3 linked regions of the Arabidopsis thaliana genome follow. Each later gene encodes a partner of the first gene's protein in a complex. Each region holds a gene or a part of one and is shown in the gene's direction. Other genes may lie near its edges. The genes, in order: AT1G61470, AT1G73875 and AT5G11350.

Region 1 (8,357 bases):
ATTCACTGGTGCACCAAAATGGAGGTTCATCTGTTGGAATATACCTTTCATAAATAGAAAAAATCGTTTACAAAACAGACTAAAGTTTCAATCAAACATCATTTCTCAACGCCCTAAGATCACAGACTTTGTCATCTCATTCACAGTGATCAAATCCTTAGACGATGATTCGTCATCTCTCCAGTGCACTACAAATGTGGGTTGTTTTGGTGATGGAAGATCTGATGTTGTCGTGAGCATAGACATCAACTCAAGTGTGTTTGGTCTGTCTGCAGGTTGGTGTTGAACACAGAGAAGACCAATCTGAATACATCTCTCAACTTCTAATGGGCGACATGAATCAGCAACATCTTTATCCAAAAGATCAACTCCTCCAGTTTCACACCAAGATTCCCATGCCTGTTGTTTGATCTTAAAATTATAAAAGCAAGAAACGATTTGAGATATTTGCAACTGTATACCTAAAGTCGTACTTACATATGCAATAAGGGTTTTTTCTTCTTTGCCATAGCTGAATCTTGAGATCTTCTCTCCGCTTATGATTTCTAATATATCCTCTGGAGACATATATCCTCTGCACATATATCAAATAGTTTCTCCCAAGTTAATATCTGATTATAACTTTGAGTCTTTAGTCAATTATGTTTTTGAAATAGATTCTTACAGAGTTCCTACGACCCTGCGAGTATTGTCCTGATATTCGGTTCCCTGATACATCCGAGCCAATCCAAAATCTGATATCTTTGGATTCATCTTCTCGTCAAGAAGAATATTGCTGACCTTCAGATCACGGTGAATTACCTTGAGGCATGAGTCACGATGGAGATAGTGAATTCCACGCGCAATACCTTGAATGATATCAAATCTCTTTGGCCAGTCAATCTCAAGCCTTTTTCTTGAATCTAAGCAACAATACAGCGTGAAAACAATCAGAAAAGACAATTCCATATAGAGAAAAAAAGCTGCCGATAGTAAAGGAATGAGGCAAGAAAGAACCCACCGAAGAGAAAAGTATCAAGGCTTTTGTTCAACATAAACTCATAAATCAACAGCCTCTCTTCTCCTTCAATGCAACATCCTAAAATCCGAACTAAGTTTTTGTGTTGTAGTTTTGAGATGAGTACTATTTCATTCATGAACTCCTCTTTGCCCTGCCCTGAGCTGCTAGAAAGCCGTTTTACAGCAATTTCTTTCCCATCTTGCAGCTTTCCCTAATACAGATTGCAGAAAGTCATTTCGAGAACATAAGCGGAAAATACAAAAGAGCAAAGAAGATTAAAATTCTCCAACCTTGTAAACTGAACCAAATCCACCTTGTCCCAGTTTATTTGAGAGACTGAAATTATTGGTGGCAGTTTGAATGGTGTTCATCTCAAACAAATATGAACCTGAGACATCTTGTGGTTCCAAATCATATTTCGGTGCATCTTGTGAAGCTAGAATTTCAGGAATAGATAAAGAGATAATAATAAGGCCATGAATATGAATAAAAACAATAAGAGATCGATATAGAGCTAGTAAGATCATCAGAGTGTTACCATTATGTTTAACTCTGTATCTCCAGAAACCAAACGCAGTAGAACCCAATATCAGAAAAAGAGAAAGGCTGACAATACTAGCAGTAATGGTCTTCTTGCGCTTATTCCCACCTGAGATATAAGACAAAAATAAATTGAACAACTAGCCATGCTGCTACCGGAACGAATAGTATCAATGGAGTTCTAGATAAAGTTGTAATTGAAGAAGTAGCTCTTTCTTGATATCATTTAAGCCGTACCTAATTCAGAACGTGCAAGACGAATGGAAAGAATCTCTCCTCCTGCAGAAAATTGCACTGTGTCCATGAAGTCTTGGTTCCATATTAAGCACCCAATTCCATGAATATAAGAAAAGGCCAAGCAAGAACAGTTGTGGAGGCAAATTTTGTAGCATCCTTCTGCATCCACAGCACTTGCAAATTCGTAAAAGTCTGGAGGCTTTATGTTGGCAACTGGATGGAAGAAGTTTGCATCTTTTTTAGTTGAGTTTTCCTGACAATGTAGTTTGGTACGCCTCACACAACCATCAGTCCAATTTCCTCTTTTCCACTCCTCAATATATTTTGGTATAAACCCTTTGAAGCATTTACACACTGACTTGACACAAATCCCAAAAGGTCCACATACACCGTAATAATCACATGAGTGCGCTGGAGCCACAAAGTTCAATACCCAATCAGTCCCACTATGCCTAGAAATCTCCAGTGAACCCTTCGATGTTATCACTATACGTGGAAGTTTGAAGTTTCTGTTTAAATAAGTAAGGGATCCTGACCCGTTTGCATCTTGCTAAAGGCTTAATGGATTTGTAAATGAATCATCCATTAGTGGTACCCCCGTGAACCTTGTTTTAGCCCATGGACCGCTTCTCCAATAAGGCTTCGAGCCTCTCATAGTTAAAGCTTGTGTTGGCACTTGCGTTGTAATCTGAAGCACAAAGTCACCAACCGCTGGATTAGTGTAACTTTTCCAAGAAGTCAAGACCTGCTTCTCGCCAGTGGCGAGGTTATACATCAGAGCTGAGAAAGGAAGCATAGTATCACCAAGATGGTCAAAGCTTTGCCAAAGAGTTCTTCCCGAAAAATTGTCTATGACAATAAGATTTCCGGTGTCTGAAAGCTCTGCACGAGACCCGTTAGAAGCAAGAGTTTCACCACTGGACCATGCAACGCCATGTTTTCCATTATATAACAGAAGACTTGCGTTGCTGCTGATAGCGAGATTTGCTGTGGAATCTGTAACAGGATTTTCTCTATTGGCCACCCACACAACCACCCGGGGAATGATTCCCTTGAACCAGATTCCAAGATAATGATTTTCCGAGTTATTAAAACTGAAGAAACCCAATTCATAAACTCCATTAGAGGAGCTGAGAGTTTGTCCTATTGACAAAGGACTCTCTTTGTTTATCCCTGCAATTGCAAAGCTAAAACTTATAAAGATGGTATTGGTAAATAAGAGCAAAGAAGCAAAGAACGTGATCCTCATCGTCCCCGTTTGTTTGTTTTTTTCTTTCTCCAATAACTATCTTTTTTGGATTAGTGTGTATGAAGCAAGAGAGCCGGGGAAAAAAAAAACACTGTGTCTTGTCAGAACTACTTTACTTATTTTCCAAAAATATGCATTATTTAATAAATACATGATAGATACATTGGCACGAAGAAGTCATTACCGTATCAGATACGCAACGTTTTCATTGTTCCAGTCCTTACTAGCTTGTTAGGCCCAGAAGAACCTATATTTTTCTTGAACTGCAGACTATGAATTATCTCGTTTAGGCATTTCCTCGAACACTTGCAGTGCATAACAAAAAGTCAGAGCTTCGGTGATGTCTTGAAGACCTTAATGACCCCAATCGATTGATTCGTACTCCAACCATATGGGCTTAACTGTCACTATCCAAAAGCAGCCGAATAATTCAACAGTCAAGATTGACTTGTGTCAGTGTATGACAGGTTGCTTGACTTGTGTCGTCAAGCCACTAACCCAGAGAAGAACCTTCCGGGAAGACTTAAAATAAAGTCTTTTGTCAATTTCGTGTATTTCGGGATGGAAAATTAGACTTTAATTTGTAATAGGAATTTAATTCGGTTTAGCGTTGAAATCGTAAACCGCTTCGGAAACAAGGCTTTTGAGTTTTGAGAGAGAAATTAGAATTTAATTCGGTTCGGGCAAGGAATTTAATTCGGTTTAGTGTTAAAAATTGAAAACCGCTTCGGAACCACGCGTTTTTTTGTTTTTGAATTTTAAGAGAAAAATTGAAAACTCGTGTTTAACAAGAATTAGGAGTCAAAAAAGTCAACACGAACTTTTGATGGAAAAAAAATGAAAACTTTATAGTATCCTAAAAATAAGGAAACTGAAGTCGGTGTCTTAATCTAATCCCTATAAATTCTCTAATAATATAACGCCAACCAAATAAAATTCATTTGTTATCTCACTTTCTCTTTCAGATAAACAAACAGTTTCTTAGTTTCGTTCGAGATGAGCGGTGAAGTTTGGAGATGGAACAAGCAAGCAGAGATGAATTCGATAAGAGATTGTTTGAAACATTGTAATTCCATCGCTATCGACACAGAGTTTCCCGGATGCTTAAAGGAGACTCCCATGGACGCAAGTGATGAAATTCGTTATAGAGACATGAAATTCAATGTGGACAACACCCATCTCATCCAGTTAGGGTTAACGCTATTCGGCAAAGGAATCACTAAAACCTGGGAGATCAACTTGTCAGATTTCAACGAATCTAAGAGCTTGAAAAATGATAAATCTATAGCGTTTTTAAAAAACAATGGTTTGGATCTGGATAAGATCAGAGAAGAAGGTATTGGAATCGAAGAGTTCTTCATGGAGTTTTCTCAGATTCTCAATGAGAAACATGGAAAAATGAGATGGGTGACTTTTCAAGGCTCTTACGACAAAGCTTATCTACTTAAAGGTTTAACTAGAAAACCATTACCCGAGACTTCGAAAGAGTTTGATGAAACCGTCCAGCAGCTTTTGGGAAGGTTTGTTTATGATGTGAAGAAAATGGCTGGATTATGCAGCGGACTAAGTAGCCGTTTCGGACTACAGAGAATAGCGGATGTGTTGCAGATGAGGCGTGTTGGAAAAGCTCATCACGCTGGATCAGACAGCGAATTGACGGCTCGTGTCTTCACTAAGTTGATTTTCGATTTGGTCAATAGTAGAAAGGAGAGTACTGGAAGAAGAGCTGATGATCAGCAATATCAACTAGAGCAGCAGCAGCATCAGCAACAGCTTATGATGACTAGATGTTACATCCCGATACCGGTCCAAGGAAGGAACTACGTATTGTGATCCCTCAATGTTTAGCATGTCTTGTTGCTAGTATGCAAATTCTTTCTTTATATGCTTAGGATTTAACTTTCAGCTTTTATTGTCCATCAAAACAATTCTCTCAATATTATGACTATTGCTCTTTAGTAAATACTTTAATGAATCTAAAGTTAGAATCTACTCAAAAGCCTCTCATGTAACATCTTTGTCTTGGAATTACTATCTATCAGTTTCCTCCGAATTGAGCTGAAGATATGTAACAAGCCCAGTTTTTTCCTTTTTCGCTATACACTAATCAAAATTTGGAATCTATGTGAAATATTTTGTTAGTACCAATTATGAGTTGTTTTGGTTGGAGTGTCACACTTTTCTCCTGTGGACTTGAGTTTCTTCTTCACTTTTAATACGTGCAAATTCAATCATGGCTCCCTTATTTAGATTTAAGGCATTGACTAATTCTACTTTTATACTATGAGGATATGATAGTATCTAACCAATGGAAACCCAAAATTATGAGCTCATTTGGCTCTGCAGATAAGCTCCTCACAAGATTAGACAATTCTGCTGGAGAACAACTGGAAATGCAAACTCTATAGTAAATCATTGGTCAACCAAATTGGAAGCTCATCTATAGTAATTTTCTCTATTTACTTAAGTGAAAAATCTTTTACAAAAAGCATGAAAGGTTAAGTTATATACATTCGAAAACTGATTCCTTTCGTGAACAATCAAACACACATTCACTCTACAGGTTTCATCACATAATCTCTTACCGCCCTAGGATCATAGAATGGGTCATCTCATTGACAGTGATCAACCTCTTAGACGGTGATTCATCAACTACCGTGTTCACTACAAATGTGGGTTGTTTTGGTGGTGGAAGATCTGATGTTGTGGTGAGCATGGACAGCAATTCAAGTGTGTTTGGTCTGTCTGCAGGTTGGTGTTGGACACAGAGAAGACCAATCTGCACACATCTCTCAACTTCTAATGGGCGACATGCAACATCCCAAAATCCGAACTAAGTTTTTATGTTGTAGTTTTGAGATGAGTACTATTTCATTCATGAACTCCTCTTTGCCCTGGCCCGAGCTGCTAGAAAGCCTTTTTACAGCAATTTCTTTCCCATCTTGCAGCTTTCCCTGAAACACATTGCAGAAGGTTATCTGGAGAGCATAAGCAAATAATAGAAAAGACCAAAGAGGTTATAAATAAAAAATCTCTGACCTTATAAACTGGACCGAATCCACCTTGTCCGAGTTTGTTTGATATACTGAAATTATTGGTGGCATTTTGAATGGTATTCATCTCAAAGAAATTTAAACCTGATACATCTTGTGGTTTCAAATCATTCCTCCATGCAACTTGTGAAGCATCCTTTGATATCTTAGCTGATTATAATATAGGTCATCAGTGTGTTACCGATAGCAAGATATGAGTACTGTAAATAAAAAAAAACAAGAAATCAATAGAAAGGTAGCAAGAACATCAGTTTGTACCTTTATATCTCCAGAAACCAAACGCAGCAGAAGCCATTATCACAAACAGAGCAAAGCTTACAATACTAGCTGTAATGATCATGTTACGCTCATTTGCATCTGAGATTTATAAGACAAAAGAAAAATAAACAACAAGTCATACTGCTACCAAAGAGAACACTATCATCGTTTAATTGACGGAGTAGCTCTTTCCTGTTATATGTACCTAGTTCAGAACGTGCAAGACGAATGGAAATAATTTCTCCTCCTGGAGAAAATTGCACTGTGTCCATTAGGTCCTGGTCTACTTGCTCTGATCAGCTTTGAAACATAACATACCGAACGCTTTCAGCGCACTATTAAATCCTTAGGAAAGCAAACTTAAGTACTAGAGCCTCGTAGTTTTAGTTCTCACTCCATTTATATTAAGCATGAAACCTCTTCATTGATCCCTTTGATGTAAATTTCTAAGACGTGTAATACGATTTTCAAATGACTACTTCAAAAAAACACAAAAATATGTGATCAAATCAGAGAACTTTGAACAAGAGACAATATTGGTGGTTTTAAAAGTGATGGTTTGAACTTTGAACAAGAGAATATAAGCCAAAAATAATAATAACGTACGCAGGGGAACTAATTTCAAGCACCTATTCGCAATGTTGACCACAAGAGATGAGCATAAGGTCAGCAATATTGACTGATTCAAAGCTGCAAAAATAGCGGTTTATAAAGTCCATGGATATAGCTCAAAACGTCAAGTGGAGGAGGGGGAACCTAGACGAGAACGTTAGACTGCTATCATTAAACGTTTCTTTTTCATTGAGCTCACATAACAACATTGTCATTTTCATATCCCTGTTAGCTAGCGTGTTAGGCCAAGAACCTAATGTACAATCCAAACATTTCAACTGTAAAAATTTTCCATATCACACAGTTTCTTAACGCCCAAGGATCACAGATTGGGTCATCTCATTGACGGTGATCAAACCCTGAGACAGAGATTCTTCATCTCTCGTGTGCACTACAAATGTGGGCTGTTTTGGTGATGTAAGATCTGATGTTGTGGTGAGCATAGACAACAACTCCATTGTGTTTGGTCTATCAGCAGGTTGGTGTTGAACACATAGCAAACCAATCTGCACACATCTCTCAACTTCTAATGGGTGACATGAATCAGCAACATCTTTATCCAAAAGATCGATTCCTCCACTTTCACACCAAGATTCCCATGCCTGTTGTTTAGGTTTCAGGTCTTCAGAATGTAACAGCAAGAAACATTTTTGAAACATCTACAAGTGTATAAAAACCTAAAAGCCTTACTTACATATGCAAGAAGGGTTTTTCCTTGTCTACCATAGCTGAATCTTGAGATCTTCTCCCCGGTGATGATTTCCAACAGTATAACTCCAAAACTGTAGATATCTGATTTCTCAGAGAACATCCCAGTCCATGCATACTCGGGAGCCATATATCCTCTACACATATATCAAATAGTTTAAATATGATTATAACTATGAATCATTCACAAGCATGTAATTAAAGACATGTTCTTACAGAGTTCCTGCAACCCTACGAGTGTTGTCCTGATATTCGGTTCCCTGATACATCCGAGCCAATCCAAAGTCTGATATTTTTGGGTTCATCTTCTCATCCAGAAGAATATTGCTAACCTTAAGATCACGGTGAATGACCCTGAGGCATGAGTCACGGTGGAGATAGTGAAGCCCACGCGCAATGCCTTCAATGATATTAAATCTCTTAGGCCAGTCAATCTCAAGCCTTTTTCTTGAATCTAAGCAATAATACCGTATAGAAACGATCAGAACTGACAGTTCCATGTAGAAAAAAAGCCGCTTGTAGAAAAGAAATGAGGCAAGAAGGAACCCACCGAAGAGAAAAGTATCAAGGCTTTTGTTCAGCAAAAACTCATATACCAACAGCCTCTCTTCTCCTTCAATGCAACATCCCAGAATCCTAACCAAGTTTTTATGTTGTAGTTTCGAGATGAGTACTATTTCATTCATGAACTCCTCTTTTC
Region 2 (11,479 bases), 5.1 Mb from region 1:
AGAAAATCAAGACGATGTTTTTATCGGGAAAGCTTGGAAACGAGCGTTGAGGAGGTCTAAAACCTGAGAGAAGAAAACAGAGAGACGGAGAAAATAGACGTGATGGGAATGTGGGTTGATTTGATCTTTTGATTATTATTAGCGGATAATAGTAAACTAATTAAACGATTAATTTTTCTCTAATGATTAAAAATTATCTATACAGAGTAGGAAAAAAAAAATTGGGGTTTGTTTGTTGTACGGAGGGAGAGAGCGCGAATGTAGGAGGACGCGCAGTAATTAACAAGTCTTTTTTGGCTTCTCCAATCGTTTATACGGGTTTATTACACGTGGCAAATCCTTGCCTAAAATTAACGAGTATTTTAACAGATTATAAATTGGATTAAGAAACGATTAACTTGTAACATATAATTGGGGTACGACGACCAACGGAACATTTTAATATGTATCATGTATGATTTGGGCACACGTCGTGTTGTGGTACTTTACTTCCACCGTCTACAATATTATAGAGTTAGCATACTTTATACTTAAAACCATAGGTTATGAAAACAAAACCAAAAATATAGTAGTGGTAAATTGATCTTTAATTTCGTTCAAAATAGACAAGAAAATACTTCAGATTTAAGGAAAACGTTGTAGTGATACATTTATTTATCATATCGAGCTTTAATATAGGAATATTTGTTTTTATTGTTGTTACTTAATACTTATTAATTAGTGTTGGGATAATTTTAACTGTTTCAAGTACCGATCTATCACACTTCAACGCAGAGCAATCGGACGTATGAAAGCAAAAAGATTTCCCGCATCTATGTTAGCAAGTGGTCTCTCATATCAATCAAGGCCTATTGTGCCTCCACTTCCGAAATTCACTCGTTCGTCAATAGGTTATATTATTAATTCTACACATGTATCACAAAAATGTGCAGATTTCAACTTGGTGGTGAATGGTGATATAATTAAGGTTTGTATATCATGTCACATAACTTGCGTAAATTCCATATAAAGTAATATAAATAAAATGGTGGTGTAAAGCAGAGGAACGAGTCCTATGATAGAGAGATGTTCAATTGTTCGTGGGTCATGTGGCGTAAAATTGTTTGTTTCCTTGTTTCTTTTGGCGTAAACTGCAAAATTGCCAAAAATTCGATGAAGTCACAACCTCTTGATTTGTATATATTGTCACGTCGCTATATCACCACAATCAATTCCTTTCTTTAAAGGACTAGAATTCCATTACTCATATCATTTCCGTTATGTTAGATCCACAATAAATGATAATAATTAAATTTAGGACCCATTTGAATCTTTAGGTGCTGATTAAACACCCATCTCTAAGATCACAAAAGCAGAAATTTTACATTTTTAGTGACATATAATCCTTTTTTCTATCATCAAACATTAGAAGTTGGATGTTAAATGTTCTACAAAACTTCACAGGTGTTGTTGGAAGTTCCAAAAAAGAATGTCGTTTGCTATACAAAAAAAGAAAAGAAAAGATGAAAAGTAACTTCCTGCGTTTAAAGTATCACGCTGCGTTGCGGTCATGCAAACGCACCAACAAACAAAATAGTTTCAAAACAAAACTTGAAAATGTGGGGTCCACGTAAGAATCTCCATGGAAGAACTTGAGCCAATCAGAGTGCAAAAACGGAGATGACAGTATATTTCAACCAATAAGGAGGCAGAATCAGATCACCAGTGGGTTCCATTATAAGTTTCCTCTTGACTAACCACCAATAGCTAGTTTTACACAGAACTTAAATTTTTCATTTTTTTTTGTCTTTTAATATTTCAACAAGATCAATTTTATTATTTGATATTAACCATCTTCAACAGTGTTTGCCAACGAAAAAAAAACACCATCTATAACAGTGTCTTCACCAAACTGTATTTCACTATGACTTATTTTCCGAAAAGAATGATGAAGTTTAGTACCATACATGAACTAGCGGTTAGATCGTAATTAAGAATTTGAGGATCATATTTTACTATATCATGAAAACGGAGAGAGCGCAAAATTACAGACATATTGGTTCAAAATTTTATTTAAGAATAAAGTATATATATGGTTCTAATTTTTCAAAAAAAAAGTATATGGTTCTAAACATTTATTTGAAAGTACGTAATATAATGAAAACAAAAATTGTAAATTTGAAGTAAAAAACTCGTGAAAAGTCCTCATTCTAAAATACCATGTACACGTACATAATAAACTATGAATAGAATTATGAGTTTTTATTTATATTTCTATCTCCACTCCAAATAATTTAGACCACACAAGGTAATGAAAAAATAATAATTCTGAAAAAAATGAAAAATACTGCCGGGAAATCGAGACGCCACACACACTAGTGAATTCGTTGCAAAACCATATATATTACAGTATTTTGTTCTTCTCAAGGCCTCTCTCTCCATCTCAGCAACTCTCTCACTGTGTAATATACACACACAATGGTGGTCGATGTAGAGAGCCGAACCGCGAGCGTGACAGGAGAGAAGATGGCGGCGCGTGGCTGTGATGCGTGCATGAAGAGATCACGTGCTAGTTGGTACTGTCCAGCCGATGACGCTTTCCTATGCCAAAGCTGCGACGCCTCGATCCACTCGGCTAACCATTTAGCGAAACGGCACGAACGTGTCCGGTTACAATCATCTTCGCCGACGGAGACGGCAGACAAAACGACGTCGGTATGGTACGAAGGATTCAGGAGAAAGGCGAGAACGCCTAGGAGCAAGAGTTGTGCGTTTGAGAAGTTGTTGCAAATCGAGTCAAACGATCCTCTTGTTCCGGAGCTTGGTGGAGACGAAGATGATGGCTTTTTCTCGTTCTCCTCCGTAGAAGAAACCGAGGAGAGTCTGAATTGTTGCGTGCCTGTTTTCGATCCTTTCTCAGACATGCTGATTGATGATATAAACGGCTTTTGCTTAGTTCCTGATGAAGTCAATAACACTACTACTAATGGAGAATTAGGAGAAGTCGAGAAGGCAATCATGGACGATGAAGGTTTTATGGGGTTCGTGCCATTGGATATGGATCTTGAGGATCTCACTATGGACGTGGAGAGTTTACTTGAGGAAGAACAACTTTGCTTGGGATTCAAGGAACCAAACGATGTTGGAGTCATCAAAGAAGAGAATAAAGTAGGGTTTGAGATTAATTGTAAGGATTTGAAGAGGGTGAAAGATGAAGATGAAGAAGAAGAAGAAGCCAAGTGTGAAAATGGAGGATCAAAGGATAGTGATAGAGAAGCATCAAATGATAAAGATAGAAAGACAAGTTTGTTTCTGAGATTAGATTATGGAGCTGTGATTAGTGCTTGGGATAATCACGGTTCGCCGTGGAAAACCGGAATCAAACCGGAGTGCATGGTAAGTTGGTGTCTCTAGCTATATCTCTCATCTCTATGTTAGTCTTTAGTAGTGTCGAGTTCCGTTGACTTTGAGCTGATATATATTGATTATAAAAGACGAAATAACGTTATAAAGTTCACTGATCCAGTTGGGAGGGAACACGTGTCTGCCTCATGTTGTGGGTGGGTACGAGAAATTGATGTCGAGCGACGGATCGGTGACACGTCAGCAAGGGAGAGACGGAGGAGGATCGGACGGGGAGAGAGAGGCGAGGGTTTTGAGGTACAAGGAGAAGCGGAGGACGAGGTTGTTCTCAAAGAAAATAAGATATGAGGTTCGGAAACTTAACGCTGAGCAGAGACCTCGAATCAAAGGTCGTTTCGTGAAGAGGACGTCACTTTTGACGTGATTTGATTTACTTTAATCAACACTTTAAAGATCTTGTAATTAAGACCTTTGAAGTAATTGTCGTAATGTACTGAATAATGAACTGAAACTCTTGGGGCCGATGGTTGTGTAGACTTGTAGCCGGCAACTATGATTTTATAGATTGATTGATTGAGTAATTTATTGTATATATCAAATGAAAACTCTTTGTTTATCAAATGAATTGGAGAAAAAAGCCATAATGTGTGATAATAACGAACACTAAAAAATTCGTAGCGAAGACATGTTACAAAGAAAACAAGTGTAATTAAAAAAAACAAAAAAAAAACAAGAAACAAGTTCAAATTAGAACATGCCATTTCCAACAATTTACAAATGAAGCAAGAAATAAAAGCCATTAAGGCCTAGTTATGGCTGAATAGCCCATCACACAATTAAAAAAACCAACATAAAGAGCCCAACTAGGCAACTACTTAAGCCAACCGGTTTGGGTTATCAAGTACGTATTTTAATCGTTAACCAGTAAAAATCGTGAATTTCAACCGACTGAATTTGGTTAACTTCACAAGGTTGACGCATAGCTCACGCGCCGCCGACTTGCTACGATTGACATGAGCGGATACGAGCGTAAGAACACGACGGCGAACTCAATCACCATCACCAAGCGGAAGCGTAACTCGATTTCGGAACAATCGGAGAACGTATACGAGAAATCGAATAGGAAGGAGTCAATAACCTTAAAACCTCACCGTTCTTTTACGCCGGGATTCAGCCAGCGTGATTGTAAACCTGTCAGACATAGTAAGTCTTCTCTCCGCCGGCGACGGAGAACTAAGGAGAAGATCTCGAGTTCCGTTGAGCGCGAATGGGTGTTTTCCGCAAACAATTTTGAAAATCTAGCAGGTCTGTGTGCATTGCAATCACACTGAATAATGCACTTATATGCTTTTATTAGCTTCACGAAGTATCACATTCCGTACTTTGAACACATTTTTATCTTATGTGTATGAAAAACTTGATATCTCCTTTTCAATTCTTCAGATAAATTAGTATTAGTTTCGTACAATCTACTTGGTGTTGACAATGCGTCGAACCACATGGACTTGTATTACAATGTTCCGCGGAAGCACTTAGAGTGGAGTAGACGGAAACATCTCATATGCAAGGAGATTAGTCGTTACAATGCAAGCATCTTATGTCTTCAGGCAAGTTCCAGGGGATTGCCTAGATCTACACTATTTAAGTTTCATTGCATTCTCATGTCCAAATTTATTGCAGGAGGTTGACCGCTTTGATGATTTAGATGTTCTTCTTAAAAATAGAGGATTTCGAGGTGTTCACAAGGTATATATACGAGTCAAAAGCTTTATTACCTTGTATGCAATGGTGCCTTTTTCATACATTTAGTATTTTTTAGAGTCGGACTGGAGAAGCGAGTGATGGTTGTGCTATATTTTGGAAAGAGAATCTGTAAGTTCAGTTTTTTTCTATTTAGGATCATTTTTAATGTGGTGGGAAGTCTCTATATGCTGGAGTCAGGATCAGGAATCTAGCCATTTGAATTGTCTACAGGGAATATCTCTCTTTTGGAACGAGATAAATTAGATCTTCTAGTTATCTGTTTTGAATGTTTCGAAATTGTTAATGGTAGGTTCACGTTGTGTTATGTTATCAGCTTTGACCTTGGCTTCACAATATATTGTTCAAGGCTGAAAGCTTTGCTTTCTATTGTTCTCGATGTTATTTATTTTGTATTAGACTCTTACTCTACTAGTTTCATCATTTATGTTATATTTCTGCTGTGAATGCAGATTTGAACTTCTAGACCATCAACATATAGAGTTTGATAAATTTGGTATGCGAAACAATGTTGCTCAACTTTGTGTTTTAGAGGTATGCACCGTTTTAAGTTATTTCTGTATTGTCGTCTTCCCCCTCTTTTCTCCTCTGTCTTTTCTTGATTCTAGAAGCACAGAGATATGACAAGCTTAATTGTGGGCATTATTTTATATATTTTTCCCTCCTGTTGTGTTTTCAGCTTTGCAGGCTAATTGCTTAATTTTCTTAGTTTCAGCCCTTGCAATTAATTAATTTACTTGATTGTCTATTACGGAACAGATGAACTGTGAGGAGGACCCAAAGTCTAAATTACGGGTGCGATCATCAGAGTATGTCTGAGTTCTGTTCTGATTCCTTTACTGGAGTGAATATTGAACTTACTTTTAAGATCCTTACTAAATTTTATGCGCACTTCCATGTTTGGTTGATTTATGCAAACTTCTACTAGTCCTCGAAGGCTAGTGGTTGGGAATATACATGTCCTATTCAATCCTAAGCGTGGGGATATCAAGCTTGGCCAGGTATGTCTTGCTAGATCCTTACAAAATTCTGATAAAAACTGGCTTATCCATAAAATCGGTAGAGCATTTCTGTCACTACACATCCTGAGTTTAGAAATGTCAATTTTTTAGCTAGTACTATTTTATGGTATTCATCAGTACATCAATGCCTGTCAGTATTGAAACTTCATTGAAATTCTAAGTAGCTCGCTCATTTCTTGATATTTGATATGTCATAACTTATAGGTAAGACTCTTTCTGGAGAAGGCTTACAAGCTATCACAGGAATGGGGAAATATTCCTGTGGCGATTGCAGGTGATCTGAATAGCACTCCACAGGTGATCTCTACCAACTTTTGTTTTTTTTGTTCTAATACTTATTTTTTAGCTGAATTCTAAAACTTACTCTGGATTTGCTGTACAGAGTGCAATCTATGATTTCATAGCTTCAGCTGATGTGAGTTCCATTGAGGGTTCTGGACTCTTTCTTTTACATTTCGCCTGGTCATAATTTTTTTCCTTTCTTTACTGGGAAAGTTAGAATGAACTCTTTATATTCCTTTTTTAATTTTGGACAGTTGGATACACAACTTCACGATCGCAGGCAAATTTCTGGCCAGACTGAAGTGGAACCAAAGGAGAGGTCATTCAGAAACCATTATGCATTTAGGTAGCTTGTAATTCACCGGGGTCTTTGGTTTCTCTAAATAATGTATCCATATTCCTTTTCTGCCTACCTGATGAACGGATAGATTGCTTATATCTCTTCTGTTTACCTGATGAACTGATAGAGTGATAGATTACTTATATTTTTCTTTGGCCTGCGCTTAATCAACTACGTAATCCTCAGATGAAGTTTCTATCTCAATTTAGTCTAACTAAACAACTCCCTCTTTCGTCAGTGCTTCAGCATCCATCTCCGGATCACTACTCAATGAGTGGAGCCAGGAAGAATTACAGCTTGCAACTGGTGGTCAAGAAACCACTCATGTCCAACATCAACTGAAGCTTAACAGCGCATATAGTGGAGTTCCTGTAAGTGTTTTTGTTTCTTGTTCTCGACTGGTGGACGCATCGAAAAGAGTTGAAATCTGCCTTACAGGAAAACTAAGTTCTTAGGAACTGTGGCTTTCTTTTATACTAGATACTGAAAAACGTTTAGGGAAAGTAGCATGTTGTATGATGTTATATATCCTTCTAGTATGCTAAGACCTGAGATCTTGCAGGGTACATATAGAACTAGAGATCAACGCGGTGAACCATTGGCAACAACGTATCATTCCAGGTTCCTTGGAACTGTTGATTATATATGGTAAGTCTGTTGTGCTTATGAAATCCGAATCATTAATCAGAGCTTTCAATTATATATGGCTATCAATGTTGTGATATATGCACATGTAATTTTGAAATCTCAATAATTAATCTGAGGTTTTGAACCCAGGCATACCAAGGAACTCGTTCCTGTGAGGGTTCTTGAGACCTTGCCAGCAGATGTATTGAGAAGAACAGGTGGACTACCTAGTGAGGTAAGTTTTTTTTTCTAGGCTAAACTTTTTTTCTGGGGCAACCCTTTACTTTCTCGAGTTACTCTATTCATTTTTTCAAGAATGTAAAAACTGGGATTATTGGAAGAGTTGCATACAAGTCTCTGACCAATGAAAATTTGCAGAATTGGGGAAGCGACCATCTCGCTATCGCATGTGAACTCGGCTTTGTCAATGACTGGCAATGAGCCAAAATGTTAGCACCAACCACTAAACCGAGCCACCTGACTTGGCCATCCCTTGAGGTTTTTGAATGCTCATCGAGGCTTCTGAATTGGAGTTCGGAAACAGATTCAGTAAATTGTAAAACATAAACAAGTTTTGGGCTCATTCCCATACATAGATTTGCTTACTTGAAACATTTTTTTTTACCTTACCTACCCAAGACTTGCACCTACTCTTTCTGCTTTTAAAAAGTTAATACCAAAATAGCATGTTACTGGACGTGTACCTATGAGGAGCGAAGACCCATTTTGCTACTAGAAGCAAAACAATGTAAGAGACGTTGCGTAAAAAGTATCTCAATCTGTTCACTCCAAAATAAGCTCTTCTCAAGTGTCATCTGACGCTGCATTAATCAAAATACCACACGGTATTATCAAAAGTGTCGTAAGCATTCTTTCCAAGTGTTGGGAATACATTGGGTACACAAATCGGCCATTTACAGTTAACACACATCTATTTAAATCACTCTTTTCTCTTTGCTCCACCAAAACATTCCGGCATAAACAAAAAAAAGTCCCACTAGAAAAGCTCATTATGAAAGTGAACGAGGAAAACAACAAGCCGACAAAGACCCATGTCTTAATCTTCCCATTTCCGGCGCAAGGTCACATGATTCCCCTCCTCGACTTCACCCACCGCCTTGCTCTCCGCGGCGGCGCCGCCTTAAAAATAACCGTCCTAGTCACTCCAAAAAACCTTCCTTTTCTCTCTCCGCTTCTCTCCGCCGTAGTTAACATCGAACCACTTATCCTCCCTTTTCCCTCCCACCCTTCAATCCCCTCCGGCGTCGAAAACGTCCAAGACTTACCTCCTTCAGGCTTCCCTTTAATGATCCACGCGCTTGGTAATCTCCACGCGCCGCTTATCTCTTGGATTACTTCTCACCCTTCTCCTCCAGTAGCCATCGTATCTGATTTCTTCCTTGGTTGGACCAAAAACCTCGGAATCCCTCGTTTCGATTTCTCTCCCTCCGCTGCTATCACTTGCTGCATACTCAATACTCTCTGGATCGAAATGCCCACCAAGATCAACGAAGATGACGATAACGAGATCCTCCACTTTCCCAAGATCCCGAATTGTCCAAAATACCGTTTTGATCAGATCTCCTCTCTTTACAGAAGTTACGTTCACGGAGATCCAGCTTGGGAGTTCATAAGAGACTCCTTTAGAGATAACGTGGCGAGTTGGGGACTCGTCGTGAACTCGTTCACCGCCATGGAAGGTGTTTATCTCGAACATCTTAAGCGAGAGATGGGCCATGATCGTGTATGGGCTGTAGGCCCAATTATTCCGTTATCTGGGGATAACCGTGGTGGCCCGACTTCTGTTTCTGTTGATCACGTGATGTCGTGGCTTGACGCACGTGAGGATAACCACGTGGTGTACGTGTGCTTTGGAAGTCAAGTAGTTTTGACTAAAGAGCAGACTCTTGCACTCGCCTCTGGGCTTGAGAAAAGCGGCGTCCATTTCATATGGGCCGTAAAGGAGCCCGTTGAGAAAGACTCAACACGTGGCAACATCCTGGACGGTTTCGACGATCGCGTGGCTGGGAGAGGTCTGGTGATCAGAGGATGGGCTCCACAAGTAGCTGTGCTACGTCACCGAGCCGTTGGCGCGTTTTTAACGCACTGTGGTTGGAACTCTGTGGTGGAGGCGGTTGTCGCCGGCGTTTTGATGCTGACGTGGCCGATGAGAGCTGACCAGTACACTGACGCGTCTCTGGTGGTTGATGAGTTGAAAGTAGGTGTGCGTGCTTGCGAAGGACCTGACACGGTGCCTGACCCGGACGAGTTAGCTCGAGTTTTCGCTGATTCCGTGACCGGAAATCAAACGGAGAGGATCAAAGCCGTGGAGCTGAGGAAAGCAGCGTTGGATGCGATTCAAGAACGTGGGAGCTCAGTGAATGATTTAGATGGATTTATCCAACATGTCGTTAGTTTAGGACTAAACAAATGATTTGATTTAGTCAAACAAAATTCTAATTATGGTTTTTTTTTCCTTAATACAGTATGTTCCTCACGAACTAAAAAAATATGCATGAGTGTATTTTATTAAATTGTTGTAAGATGATAAATAAGTGTTTGTGATTGTGATTCATAAATAAGTGTTTGTGATTTTTGTTAAACAAATCGGGTCAATTTGGTCGGGTCGGGTCATATCGGGTCAAGTTTAATAATACCCGAATGTTTTGTTTTCCTTATCTTCTTCGAATCTGGCTTCGCTTCCCTCTCTCACATATCCACACAACAAAGGAAATGGCTCTCACCGTGAGCAGCGGTGGCGGAGGAGCTAGAATCCGCTGCAACGACCTCACCGATTCTTCTCGTAACCCTTTCTCCACCTTCCGACTCGTAAACTTCCCTAATCCATCAAGAACCGGTCTTCACGTTGTCTCTGCCGCCAAAAAACCTTCCACACAGACCGGTCGTTTCGACAGCAAGAAGCGTCGGACTCTCGTTCCTACAACGACTAAGAACAGCAGGAAGAGGGAAACGAAGGTTTTGACGGCGAGAACCCGCCGTCTCAGATCGTTATCAACGACGAAGATGGAGATAGAACGGTGGTGAATACTCGATTCAGAGGTGATCCGAAAGATGCGCCGAAATTTGCCATTAAGGATCTTCCTGGACTTGAACCAGATCCTTTTGAAGGTGAGAAGTGGGATGGTCTAGGTTTCTTCGTTCAGTACTTGTGGGCTTTCGGAATCCTTTTCGCGGTAAATTTCTGTACTTTTCAGTTGCTTTATAACAATTCTCCAATTTTGAAGTTAAACCAATCAATTCACTATGGTTCAAAATGTTGTAACAGCTAATCTCTGGTGGACTTGCGGCGGGGACGTATAACGAAGGTGCGACGGATTTCAAGGAGACGCCAGTATATAAAGAGGCGATTCAATCTCGTGACCTTCTTGATGAAGCAGAGAGTTCAAACTCTGAAGATGTGTTTGAGTCCAACCCAACAGAAGTGGCTCCTAGTTTGGAATAGTTTCAGTTCAGTGTTTAGAGAAAGAATTTAAAGACTGAAACTTTTTGCTATTGGGGTGTTTTAAAAAGCCATATTCCAAGTTGATCTTGAGCTTGTTGTGTTCATAATGTTATAGATTCAAAGTTAAAAGAAGAGTATTGTTCTTCATTGTTCTGTTTTCCGATTTCATTTCTGAACTGCAAACTTCTTTAGGAATCATTCCAATAATCTCTTCTTTTATAAATGTAAGGTAAAGTTATAAAGTTGATCTTGATTCATTGAGAAAACACAAAACAGAAGAGACCGAGATGGTAGTTAATGCAGAAAGACTCAGATGAGGAGGAGAGCGGCGGGTAAGATCGCTGCGAGTGCAAAGATGGTTAGCTGAATCTCAGACTTGGAGCCAGAGGATTTCAAACCATAACCTAATCCCATAAAACTGGTGGGTCTTGGTGCCATTTGAGCCACTGGAGTAGCTGATAAAGTGAAAAGTAACACTATGTTAACTGTTTCCATGTTTTGGTTTTAGCAGATACTGAAAACTTTGGTAAAAAGTGGTTTACCAGCGACACGAGAGTTGTTCTTTGCACCTTGAGAGATTTGAGAACCAGTTGAGCTTGAAGGTGGTGGAGCAACAGAGGAGGAATCACTAGGCGCCTCTCC
Region 3 (11,324 bases), on another chromosome or scaffold:
AAATAAAAAGAAGTTTAAACGATGGTCCACACTCCACATACCACATACCACATTCTTTACTAATGCATTTTGTGCGACGCATCACATGATTCACTTAGTGTTTTTGTTTTTCTCCAGAATGAACAACTGAAAAAGGTGTATAATACATATGTATAATTGTCCCAAAATATAATAATATGTCTAAAAATAGTATCCACCAATCACCATGTAAGAATCAACGGCTTCTGCGTTGACCATTATATTTAAATATGTCAACCTGTAAATAGAAGACAAAAGCGTCTGTAGTCCAACGGTTAGGATAATTGCCTTCCAAGCAATAGACCCGGGTTCGACTCCCGGCAGACGCAATTTTTTTTTTTTCCTTCCTTTTTGACAGTGAAAACAAATTTTCTCCTGCTTTGTGGATTCTAGGGTCACAAAACTGATTTTTTTCATCATTTTTATATAACTTGTATTTGAAGTATCCATAGTTTCTACATTAACGTTCCAAACAATATGTTCAAGTCTATTAAACACACAATTATTAACATACAACATCTCTCACATCAAATATTTATCACTAGATAAGGGGAGCACAGGAAAAGAATGGCATGTTTCTCTGCTCCAAACCAAAAACGCCATCTCCAATTCCGTCATGATCCAGACCTTGCTTGATACGCCCCAAACGCCTTGCATACAAAACTTGCTCAGAAACAACAGGCAATCTTATTCTCTGATATTCCTCAAGACCCAAACTTACATTCTCAGGTCCACAGTTCTCTAAGCATTTGCCTAGCACTTCCGCATCAAGTATCGACATGTTTGTGCTTCTTAGACCATGAGGGGTCGTGGGATGAGCCGCGTCTCCAACCAACACGATGTTTCCCCAAAAGATTCGTTCTAAAGGGTCAGAGTCGTAAATAACATTAAGGAAAGGATCCTTTGTTTCACTCATGAGTCTCGCTAGTTCGGGGATCCAAATGGTTTCTGCTTCTTGATGCATCTTATTGATCATTTCTTGACTCACTTTTAGAGTAACAGAGTTGCTCTGATATCGTAATTCCATAACAACAACAAAATAGAAATCAAGAAAACTACACTTGTAGACGCATCCTAATCAAAAAGAGAGAGGAATTAGTCTTCTTACTTTCAGGTCAGGCTCTGGTTGATTGACATACCAAATCCAGTTGAGTTTCTTGTTAAAAAGCTCGTAAAACACGCTATGAGTCTGTTCACCGAGATCAAAATACAAGCATTTTCCAAGATCCGGATACACTTTCTTAATCCCACTAACTGTTTCCGAGTTCTCATTCCCTGAGAAATCAAATACACCTCTCCAAGCACAATAACCAGAGTACCTTTCACATAAAACGAAAAAAACAAAATCCTATATGATCAAGTCCACAAAATATCGATAAATGAAGATCACACTCTTATTTCAAACCTCAGTTTAAAGTCAGGCAAGAAAGTTTTCCGAATCGAAGACAAACACCCATCAGCTGCAATAAGTAAGTCTCCTTCAATTTCAACAGTTTCTTGAGTTTCCACAACTAAAGTCTTAACCTTTACATTAGATTCATCTTGTGACATTGTGAAAGACAGAAACTTATGTCCCCAAAGAAACATGGTCTGAGGCAATGCGTTATACAGAAGAGATTGAATATCTGACCAATAAGCTGCTCGGAAATCAAAATCCTCATCTCTTGTTAAAATCCTTGTCACTTTCTTCTCACTATCAGTTGTCTGATTCTACAACAAACCCACAACACACAAAAAAAGTTAAAAACTTTAGGTAGAGCTGGAAAAACTAAACGCCGATTGTTTCAATTGTCGAACTAAACTCAGTGTTCTTATTACCTGATCAATCGAGAGAGGCAAGGTGATTTCATCTAAGAGCTGTGGAGTAGTAAGCCATGATTTGATGATCTGCCGAGCCTGAGGGTCGAGTCCGAGCCCAGCACCAGTAGGACTCCCAACAGGAGGTTCGGAAGATTTCTCGAGAACCAAAACATCCCAGCATGCTAACGTGAGCGAGTGTGCGCAAGATAAGCCTGCTATACTTCCTCCTACTATGATCGCTTTCCCTTTCTTCTTCCCCATCTCATCAAATCAAATGTTTCTTCTGCTTCACAAATTGTTAACGATAAGAGAGAGTTTCAACTTAATGAAACCTCTGGGTGGATAAGAGGATTAGAACTATGTGGGATGATTCCAGGCCCAATATTCCAAGCCCAATCGTTTGGTCATATAAATAAGAAACTGATCTCTGTTGTGCGTCAAAACTATGTATTAGAATTTCATTTTGTCCAGGCCCAGAATGAATTATAGGCCCAATAGTCTATTCTCTCTCCCACGAACATTATTTATAGATTTTTGGGTTTCCCCTAAATCTCGAGCTTTTTCTTCCCTTGATTTCTTTGGTCTCTGTCCGTACGACGTCGAATATCTAGATTGTTCGACGGCGATGGGAGCTGGGAGAGAAGTCAGCGTATCGCTAGATGGAGTCAGAGACAAAAACTTGATGCAGCTTAAGATACTCAACACGGTTTTGTTCCCGGTTCGTTACAACGACAAGTACTACGCCGATGCAATCGCTGCCGGCGAATTCACCAAGCTTGGTTCGTCTTCTTCTTACTTGATTTTTCTTAATTTCTGTCTCTCTTTGCTTTCCCCAGTAATTCCTGCTTAAATTTCTTAATGGGCATGTGCTATTACGATTTCACGGGAATGTGCCTCTGAATCAGAACTAAAATTCATCGAATTTTGGTATTTTTGCTCTCAGATTTCTGTCTTTTTACCTGAGCGAGCATTAGTAGTCGAGTTTGTTCCTTTAATAGGAAAAGTTTGCTTTGGGGGGTTTATGATGAACTGTTCTGTGATTAGGCTTGGTATACTCTACAAAGAAAGTACCTTTTGCAATCCTGCTTTCCTTTGGTTGTTTGTTTAGTTGGTTCACTGGTCATTGTAATAGGTGTGATTATCTGTGTCTTCTCTTTTGTTCGGTTCCGTGAATTTATTTGACTGAGCCATGTTTTATTTAGGTTCAGTACTAGTGTCTGATACTAGGAAGAAGATGATTTTATCGGTAATATTGGTAGAAGCCTTCTTTCTAAGCCTTGAATGGATCGATTTTGTTTGCTTTCTATTGTCTGTTGTTTCGTAATTACCGATTCATGTTTGAACTTTGTGGTTGATGACATTGATGTTGACAAAGTATCATCTTGATCGTTGTTTTAAGTTGTTTGACTATATGAATACTGCATTCTTTTGTTCAACCAAGCAAAATTTTTTGTATGTTAAGCATGTGTACCTTGTAATCTATCGCTGATTGACTTATATTATCTTTCGAGAACATGGTCCAAGACTAATTTTCGTATTCACAGAATTTTTTCAAGCTCACTTTTGTGAAACCCTTGGTTGGAACATCTTTTGCGTCAACTAGTTCTTTAAATGTACAATAAGATGTGATTATGAAAGTCTAAAGACTGTTAACAACGTCTTAAATTTGGTACTAACTATTTCATTGCAGTTGCTTGGGTAGTTATGTTCTTGGTGTTACATATATTTTCTCTAATTTGTGATCAAGGAAAATTCTTCATGTTCTAATAATGGATTGACTTCCTCTCAGCATATTACAATGACATATGTGTTGGAGCTATCGCCTGTCGGCTGGAGAAGAAAGAAAGTGGGGCCATGCGAGTTTATATAATGACGCTTGGTGTTCTTGCACCCTACCGTGGGATTGGCATTGGTAAGTCATAAATCTGCTGTGCAAAACTTGAATACCGACAAAACATGAATAATGAAGAAAACTGTTAGCATGTTGTGTAATTCTGTTGTTTTCCTTACGTTTTAACACATGAGGCCAGCTGTAGTATGTTTATTCTGTAGTTCTCTATTTGAAGTGTCTCCATTTAGAGATTCAAACCACCAAGAAATAGTCCTTAGGGTTTTATGCATATCGTTGTTTTACCGAGAAACTGGAATTATGATTCCTCCTATATCAAGATTTAAGATCGAATTCCCTGCTTTAGAAAGAAAAACTCGATGTCTATAATTTGTGTATCTTGTTTTTTTCGTCTTTTGCAGGCTCAAATCTATTGAATCATGTTCTTGACATGTGCTCCAAGCAAAACATGTGTGAGATATACTTGCATGTGCAGACAAACAACGAAGACGCAATCAAGTTCTACAAGAAGTTCGGCTTTGAGATCACAGATACCATACAAAACTATTACATCAACATTGAGCCAAGAGATTGCTACGTTGTCAGCAAGTCCTTTGCTCAATCTGAAGCCAACAAATGATGAAAAATACCAAACTTGGGGAAGCCATTCCTCCCCAGTTTCTTTGTTGCATTCAGTTCAAGATCTATTAATGTTATGATGATCCTTCGGTTTCCGAGTTTTGCTTGTTTTGTTGACCTTAATTTTTCTTACTGATTCTAAATTTATAAATTCCTGGTTATATACTTGCATGATTTCTCTAATGTCCTCTTGGCTTTGGACATTTTCGTTTGGAAAAGTTTTTAACTTTGCAACTCAAAGCTTTACTACCAAGTATCATCGTGTTTGTAAATGTTGGTCTATGAATTTGAGTAAAGAGAGACAATGATTCTTGTTATGAGCTGTAGAATAAAGTAAAGAAAAAAATGAAGAATTTATGACTTGCGTTTTGGCTTGCGTGCCATTTATTCACAGTGAAGACTGGAAGATGTGTTCTTCTTGAATCAAAAAACGGCACGTCTTATGAGTCTCCGTTCATCGGTGTCTGCAATTAAGCACCGGTTCCTCGAGCTTCCTCACTCAATTCGATTGACCAATGCGGCGTTCTCGTTTTGTTGCTCAAGTTTTCTCCGACGTTACCTTCGCTGACGCCTCCACTATCTCTGCTCCAATCTTCACCATGTCTACTCGTGCTCCGGTAAATTTTCTCAGCTATTCTCTTGTTCTATCACTCCCGCTGCGTTGCTTCGGTTACTGGAATATAATTTGTTTCTTACGAAGCAGTACAGAGGTGCCCGAGGACGAGGACGAGGCCGAGGTGGGAGAAGTTTCTCCGATCGTCCGTACAATGATGACGCGGGAAGAGATCAGTTCGTTACTGGAGATTCTCATTTTCAATCAGTTCATGACGCCAATTTCCGATTCCGGCATGGTGAACCTTATCGACAACATCAGCCTCCGCTTGATCAGCGGCAGCAACCACCGTTCAATCAGAATTACGAATTTCGACCTCCGCCGCCGTCACGAGGTCAGTGGCAACAATTCCGTCAACCTAATCAGTTTCCGTCTAATCAAAACTACGCGGCTTGCCCTCCCCCTCCGTTCTATCAAAACCAGATGTCCCGGCCGCCTCCACAGCAGAGCTTTCGTCAACGGCCACGGTCAAAACCTTCAGATTACCGTGAATGGGAATATGCCAAAACGCCACCGTCTCCTGGCTCCGGTAATTTATGCGTGACCATCTCATTTGCTCCGGTATACAATTTTTGATTTGCTTTCTCTTGTCTACAGAAAAGTTTGTTGTTTTATCGTATAATATATTGGCGGATTACCTTGCAAATGATCACTGGAGAAGTCTTTACTTTCACATACCGAGGAATATGTTGAGTTGGGGATGGAGAAAGAGCAAATTAGTGTTCGAGCTTAGCCTATGGTCTGCAGATATAATGTGCCTTCAGGTTATAGTTTCTGCTATATCTTCTTGGTAATTGCTTGTATGAGGGACTAAGGAGACAAAACTTTCTTGCTTTACTATTTTTTTATCATATGTATACAGAATGTATCTTCCATATGTATAGTAATCTAAAATTATTTTGTATATGTCAGGAAGTTGATAAATTTCAGGACTTAGAGGAGGAGATGAAGCACCGGGGATATAGTGCTATTTGGAAGGTAGGTTTGTTGAAAACTTTTAGTTGTCTTGAGTTTGTATTCTCTACGGACTCTCTTGGAGTAAAGATTAAATGGTATGCATCATAAGAACTAGGCTTCAAATGTGGGGTTAACTCTATTTTATAAAACTGTAGATGCGGACTGGTAATGCTGTTGACGGATGTGCAATATTTTGGCGATCCAATAGGTTTGATTCCCTTGCTCTTCCTTGTGTGGATCAGTCTGGAATCTTGTTTAGGATTTCATTGTTATCATATTAGATTCAAGTTGGTTCACGAGGAAAGCATCCAGTTCAATCAACTTGGTCTCCGAGATAACGTTGCTCAAATATGTGTGCTTGAGGTAATATGGATACCTTATGTTGATAGTGACTTATATACATTTGCCTCTTTGCCCTAAATTAAATTTGCTCTGTGTAGACATTGTTGACTTCACATACAAAAGAAAATGAGACCCCTCCACCTGAAAGGTAACTTAAAAGTATCTGTAAATGTTACTATCATATCATTTTATGGGTGGATAATTTCACTAGGAAGTGGCCGATTTTCTTCAGATTTCAGTGGTTTTCTGTATGGACTATACTTTGTGGGTGGGTTGAAGTGAATTACCAATTTCTTTTACAGCTCTGCTGGTTCCCATCGAGTTGTCATTTGTAACATTCACGTGCTTTTTAATCCTAAAAGAGGAGACTTTAAACTTGGTCAGGTACTTTCCTTTAATGCCATATTCTAGTTTGTAGAAATCTTTTGCCAAACGACAGTTTTACTCTCTGGTTTAACTCTGTCTATACGCTATGAACATGTATAAGTGTTAGGTGTTTGAGATAAAACTTTTGAAACCAAACGCTTCGCCCCTTGCTTAACTTGGTTTCTTTAACTGTTTCCATTTATCATCTATGTATTTATCTCTGTTACGTAGGTCAGAACACTCTTAGATAAAGCTCATGCTGTTTCAAAACTCTGGGATGATGCGCCTATTGTTCTTTGTGGGGATTTCAATTGTACACCAAAGGTAGGACAATCTTACCTTAACCAGTTTGTATACCCCAAAAAACTTGTTTTGTGACATGGTCATAACATTCTTCCACCTGGTTGCAGAGTCCTTTGTACAACTTTATTTCAGACCGGAAGGTAAAGCTTCATTGTTAGGAAAGTCCTTCACCTATTCGCAACATTATATATATGGTTCACATTGTGTCTTGTGCTGCTCTCTGCAGTTGGATTTGTCTGGTTTGGCCAGAGACAAAGTTTCGGGGCAAGTTTCTGCTGAGTTTCGTCCACCAAGGCCAGAAAATTATACAACGAGGTAGAGCAAACTCACCAAGTTCTTCGACATCATTAAGTATATGGTTATGCAACTTAACACCTCCATGTCTACCCTAGAATATCGGGTTCTACTCTGCTTTTGCAATTGTCAGCATGGTTGATAGGCCTCCTCAATTTTCCAGGTATCAGTCCGCCAACAAATCTCCACAAGGTCAAGTTCAACCACCAAATTTGATCACAAATGCTCATATGGAGAATAACTCCAACATAGATGTTGGAACGGCCCCCTCCGAGAAGACATCTGAGCTTCCATGTGGTGATACAATTCTTGCTGGTCACGAAGCCACCTCCAGCTCTGACCAAGTATTACCATGCGAGAATATGGCCTCAGATTGTCAGTTTGGAATAGAAAACAGAAAACCTGATGATTCCGGGAATCTCTCGACAGCTGAAGATCTTTCTTCACTAACCATATCAGATACAGAACCTCAACATGCTTCCAGTGCTAGAGAAGATTTGAATACAGATCGTTCTGTAAGTTCCGGTTTATCAGAAACAGAGCAAACTCCTGAGGAAATATGTTCCAGTGATCAAGATATTTCATCTAGTCTCTCCACCAAGGTTGACACTTTTGTGGCTGAAATGAAACTAGATGGCTTAAAATTGGACGAACCAGTAGTATTCGCGCAAGATGAAGAAAGTTTAGGTGAAGATGGGGAAACCTTTTTGGCTAAGCTACACGATAACAATGAAAACTTGAGTCAAAAAGGGGAACTTGTGAGTGAAGTTCCACTTAAATGGAGTTCTGAAGCTTTAAATAGTGACAAAATCACTTATAGTCCATCCTCTTGGACTCCAATGGAGATAGCAACTGCAACTGGTGACCCAGAGAGAACTACGGTTGAACATGCTCTGGAGCTTAAAAGCACATACTCAGAAGTGGAGGTATTGTAATATATCCTCCCTACAGTTTTTCCCTTTTATCTTCTGTTTCTTGAGAAATTATATCCTTAGGAAGCTGTTGAAATTTGTGGTTAGGGTCAAGCAAACACAAGGGATGAAAACGGAGAACCTGTAGTGACCAGTTATCACAGATGTTTCATGGGGACAGTTGACTACATATGGTATTAGCATTAGAAGCAAAACCATTTGTGACAAACCTTAAAATTAGATTACTTCATTATTGTAAATTATGCGCGTTTTGACATATTCTCATGTTTGATTTCTGGTTTGGGTTAGGCGGTCGGAAGGTCTTCAAACAGTGCGTGTGCTTGCTCCAATACCAAAGCAAGCAATGCAGTGGACTCCAGGCTTCCCGACTCCTGTAAAATCCCATGATATTCTTATATAGCCTACCTTTTTAACTGAATTGTTTACAAAACTTTTTTATGTTTGTATTTCTGGTTTGTTACAGAAATGGGGAAGCGATCACATTGCACTGGTTTCAGAGTTGGCCTTCTGCAGCAGCAAAACTCTGCCCAAAAGCTGATATTAAACTGGTGGTGAGTTCATTAGAAATCTAAGAAAGTGTAAAGAGATTAGATGGTTGAGGTCTTGGGTTCAAAGCACATCCTTGTTGCAATGTTTGTGCTCTGAAGGTCGCCAATAGCTTATTTTATATCCCAGCAAAACATCTAAGAGTAAACTTTTACAGAATCTCATAGGCTCTAGTTTTGTATTTTTCTCTATCATATTTTACAGTGACAAATTATATTTGAGTTTTTCTTTTTGGGCGACACTCGATTTCAGAAAATCTGCTATAAAAGTTTAAAGCATGCTTCTTGATTTTAAATAGCTTCAATTGTTAACCCCTAACTCTTTCAGCTTTAGTCTAGACTGACTCTTTCAATTATTACAAATAAACACCTAGCATTTATCCATGTCCCTGTGTCCAATATAAGGACATCTCACATTAGGACCTAATCCCTGCAATATAATTCAGAGCATCCAAAACTTCTTGCATCAATGGTCGTTTCTTCTTGTCCCGATTGGTGCATCTTTGGATGAGTGTGACAATCTTTGTGGCCGCATCCACAGGATAATCGCTTCCTATTCGGGGGTCGATTATTTCCCCAATCTTATAATTATCGGGCAAGAAAGACCCAGTCCAATCTGAGCTTTGATTCTTCAAAGCTGTTGATCTATCTTGTGAACCAACTAAAAGCTCAAGCAAGATCACGCCAAATATGTCCTATCAATCAATAAGTACACAACACATATAGAGACAAAAGAAAAATTTAAATATGTTGAGTAAAAAAAAAAAGACAGACTTTACTTACCACCCACTCTTGTAGAGCCTGTGAACTGCCATGAAGATATTCGACAACAGAAACAGGGGTACCGGTTTTAGTTCTTGATGGTGCAAATGTGGTGTTATCGATGTAGCCCTTGTAGAATGATCGAATATAGTGATCATCGCGAATTACGACCCTGTCTTGTCTGGATTTCTTCGTTGCTTTCATCCATTCCTTGAAACTGAAGACTCTCAGATTCTCGCTTTGTGCCTCCACTTCTTCATATTACATATATAGACTTGAGTTACGTATTTTAAAAACATTACATGTAAACAATTGTAAAGTGAATTTATAAAACAGAGATGTACCTGGAATTAGAGGGACGGTGAGAGGCTGGTAAGCAAAAGAAGAAGGTTGTTGCTTGAAAGGCTTGACAATGTTTCCCATTGTTGAAGATACAAGGGTTCAAGGCTTGTTTCTCAATCTCTTTGGCTCTCAAAATCGGAATGGAATTCACAAGATACTTACTTCTGGTTTCAAGACATCTTGTTGGATTTTAAAGAGGTCAAAAAAATTCAACGCTTTGAAAAAGTTATGTTGAGACAGAAAAAGAAACAACCACTATTGATGACAGCAGTACTAGTTACTAAGCTCGGGGAAAAATTCTTAAAATCAAGTAAAGAATCTCAGAAAAGTGGCAAGACTCAGTTTTAGTAAGTTATTGACTTATATTGCTTTAGTTGATTACAACTTTTTCTGTAAGACACAAGTAAACAATTTCAGAAAAAGTGTTGTCAATTTCAGTAAGTTATTGACTTATTGCTTAGTTGATTATAAATACAGAGGCTCTAAATGGAACTTTGAAACGTATAGGGCACAGAAGAACAGTTGTTATTTTTGAGTAAAAATGTACAAAAAGACAAAACCAAAAACGCGTTTATTTGCTTTCCTTCTCTTCTAGTAAGCTGAACTGAAAAGCTATTTGAATATATATTTTTACTCTTTTTTCTCTTTGTAAATTCTAATAATCGAACAAAATATAACGAATTTTCCATATAAAAACAAGTCATTGGTGATATATTAATTTGTCTGTAAAACGTATTTCATTAAGATTTGTGTTTTTTCAAGTTACAACTGAAAAAATAAAAATATAGCATCCATTTGAATTTATTTTATAAAAATAAATAATTCTTTATTAAATAGCAAATAACTTTTCTCATTTTTTTTTGTAAATATTCTCTTTTCTATACACTAAAGTCTTTACAATATCACATATTTCATTGATTTTATTTCATTGACTATGTAAAGATATTCATTTATATATACAATTAGTATTTTTTTTAATTGAAAGTTAGTACTAGTATGTGACTCTGTGGGTCGATCCATTGGCTGGCCCACGAGGTCCACTACTTAACCGGTCTGAAAGTTTTATGTACATACCGCATAAGAGACCGGTAAACAGAGCGCTCTGTTTTTGTTTCGTTCCTAGGGTTTTAACAAATTGAAGGATTTTCTAGGGTTTGGTTCCATTGGTCTGTTTCAATTGTTTGTGTACGTAAGATATAGACAAGATCATTGGGTATTCTGATGATGAATTGCTCGTGAAGATCTTATCGTTTCTTCCAACAAAAGTTGCTGTAAGCACGAGTATTTTGCCAAAACTTGACTACGATAACACCGTCAATTTTGATATGGAGAAAAGCAAGAGGATGGAGCTTTTTATTGACAGGAATCTGCCAGCTTGTGTCTCAAGTCTATCTGTTCATCTAATCAACCTAAATGTATCAAATTTTGGGTTGACATTGCAGTTTCACGGTGTTTGCGTGAGCTAAGTGTTACTTATTATAGGAGAACATTGATCAGGAACTATGCATTACTGCCGAGTAGTTTGTATACTTGCAAATCTCTAGTGACATTTTTTTTTTTTTTTTTTTGAATAAAATGTAAAA

What was found.
Region 2: AT1G61470 (region 1) and AT1G73875 share a complex: the UniProt entries of both Arabidopsis thaliana proteins name them as parts of the CCR4-NOT complex.
Region 3: AT1G61470 (region 1) and AT5G11350 share a complex: the UniProt entries of both Arabidopsis thaliana proteins name them as parts of the CCR4-NOT complex.

What each region holds. Positions count from the first base shown.
Region 1 is NC_003070.9:22,674,163-22,682,519, forward strand, and holds AT1G61470 (Polynucleotidyl transferase, ribonuclease H-like superfamily protein), read left to right. Parts: upstream 1-3,929; 5' UTR 3,930-4,022; coding exon 4,023-4,859; 3' UTR 4,860-5,140; downstream 5,141-8,357. Other genes in the region: AT1G61460 (G-type lectin S-receptor-like Serine/Threonine-kinase), read right to left, coding at 106-399, 478-574, 665-902, 1,001-1,211, 1,291-1,436, 1,539-1,649, 1,778-2,286, 2,383-3,026; AT1G61475 (ATP binding / protein kinase), read right to left, coding at 5,608-5,805, 5,894-6,004, 6,066-6,229, 6,338-6,436, 6,543-6,609; AT1G61480 (S-locus lectin protein kinase family protein), read right to left, coding at 7,258-7,551, 7,644-7,794, 7,874-8,111, 8,208-8,357. UniProt on the Arabidopsis thaliana protein: Ubiquitous transcription factor required for a diverse set of processes. It is a component of the CCR4 complex involved in the control of gene expression.
Region 2 is NC_003070.9:27,776,757-27,788,235, forward strand, and holds AT1G73875 (DNAse I-like superfamily protein), read left to right. Parts: upstream 1-4,098; 5' UTR 4,099-4,355; coding exon 4,356-4,647; intron 4,648-4,785; coding exon 4,786-4,949; intron 4,950-5,022; coding exon 5,023-5,088; intron 5,089-5,161; coding exon 5,162-5,214; intron 5,215-5,555; coding exon 5,556-5,637; intron 5,638-5,862; coding exon 5,863-5,912; intron 5,913-6,031; coding exon 6,032-6,104; intron 6,105-6,329; coding exon 6,330-6,422; intron 6,423-6,507; coding exon 6,508-6,540; intron 6,541-6,661; coding exon 6,662-6,753; intron 6,754-6,985; coding exon 6,986-7,118; coding exon of another isoform or gene 7,119-7,202; exon of another isoform or gene 7,203-7,309; coding exon 7,310-7,395; intron 7,396-7,524; coding exon 7,525-7,609; intron 7,610-7,752; coding exon 7,753-7,815; 3' UTR 7,816-8,164; downstream 8,165-11,479. Other genes in the region: BBX16 (B-box type zinc finger protein with CCT domain-containing protein), read left to right, coding at 2,458-3,375, 3,506-3,766; UGT89B1 (UDP-glucosyl transferase 89B1), read left to right, coding at 8,387-9,808; AT1G73885 (AT-rich interactive domain protein), read left to right, coding at 10,108-10,231, 10,327-10,568, 10,661-10,826, 10,906-10,952; AT1G73890 (Bifunctional inhibitor/lipid-transfer protein/seed storage 2S albumin superfamily protein), read right to left, coding at 11,147-11,292, 11,380-11,478. UniProt on the Arabidopsis thaliana protein: Acts as a catalytic component of the CCR4-NOT core complex, which in the nucleus seems to be a general transcription factor, and in the cytoplasm the major mRNA deadenylase involved in mRNA turnover.
Region 3 is NC_003076.8:3,616,783-3,628,106, forward strand, and holds AT5G11350 (DNAse I-like superfamily protein), read left to right. Parts: upstream 1-4,736; 5' UTR 4,737-4,800; coding exon 4,801-4,902; intron 4,903-4,985; coding exon 4,986-5,427; exon of another isoform or gene 5,428-5,434; coding exon of another isoform or gene 5,435-5,495; coding exon 5,496-5,662; intron 5,663-5,810; coding exon 5,811-5,876; intron 5,877-6,010; coding exon 6,011-6,063; intron 6,064-6,136; coding exon 6,137-6,218; intron 6,219-6,295; coding exon 6,296-6,345; intron 6,346-6,499; coding exon 6,500-6,581; intron 6,582-6,794; coding exon 6,795-6,887; intron 6,888-6,973; coding exon 6,974-7,006; intron 7,007-7,092; coding exon 7,093-7,181; intron 7,182-7,323; coding exon 7,324-8,086; intron 8,087-8,179; coding exon 8,180-8,265; coding exon of another isoform or gene 8,266-8,272; intron 8,273-8,380; coding exon 8,381-8,465; coding exon of another isoform or gene 8,466-8,492; intron 8,493-8,555; coding exon 8,556-8,630; downstream 8,631-11,324. Other genes in the region: AT5G11330 (FAD/NAD(P)-binding oxidoreductase family protein), read right to left, coding at 560-1,027, 1,127-1,337, 1,424-1,728, 1,837-2,079; AT5G11340 (Acyl-CoA N-acyltransferases (NAT) superfamily protein), read left to right, coding at 2,444-2,597, 3,608-3,730, 4,069-4,286; AT5G11360 (Interleukin-1 receptor-associated kinase 4 protein), read right to left, coding at 9,054-9,332, 9,421-9,653, 9,744-9,822; AT5G11370 (FBD / Leucine Rich Repeat domains containing protein), read left to right, coding at 11,067-11,170. UniProt on the Arabidopsis thaliana protein: Acts as a catalytic component of the CCR4-NOT core complex, which in the nucleus seems to be a general transcription factor, and in the cytoplasm the major mRNA deadenylase involved in mRNA turnover.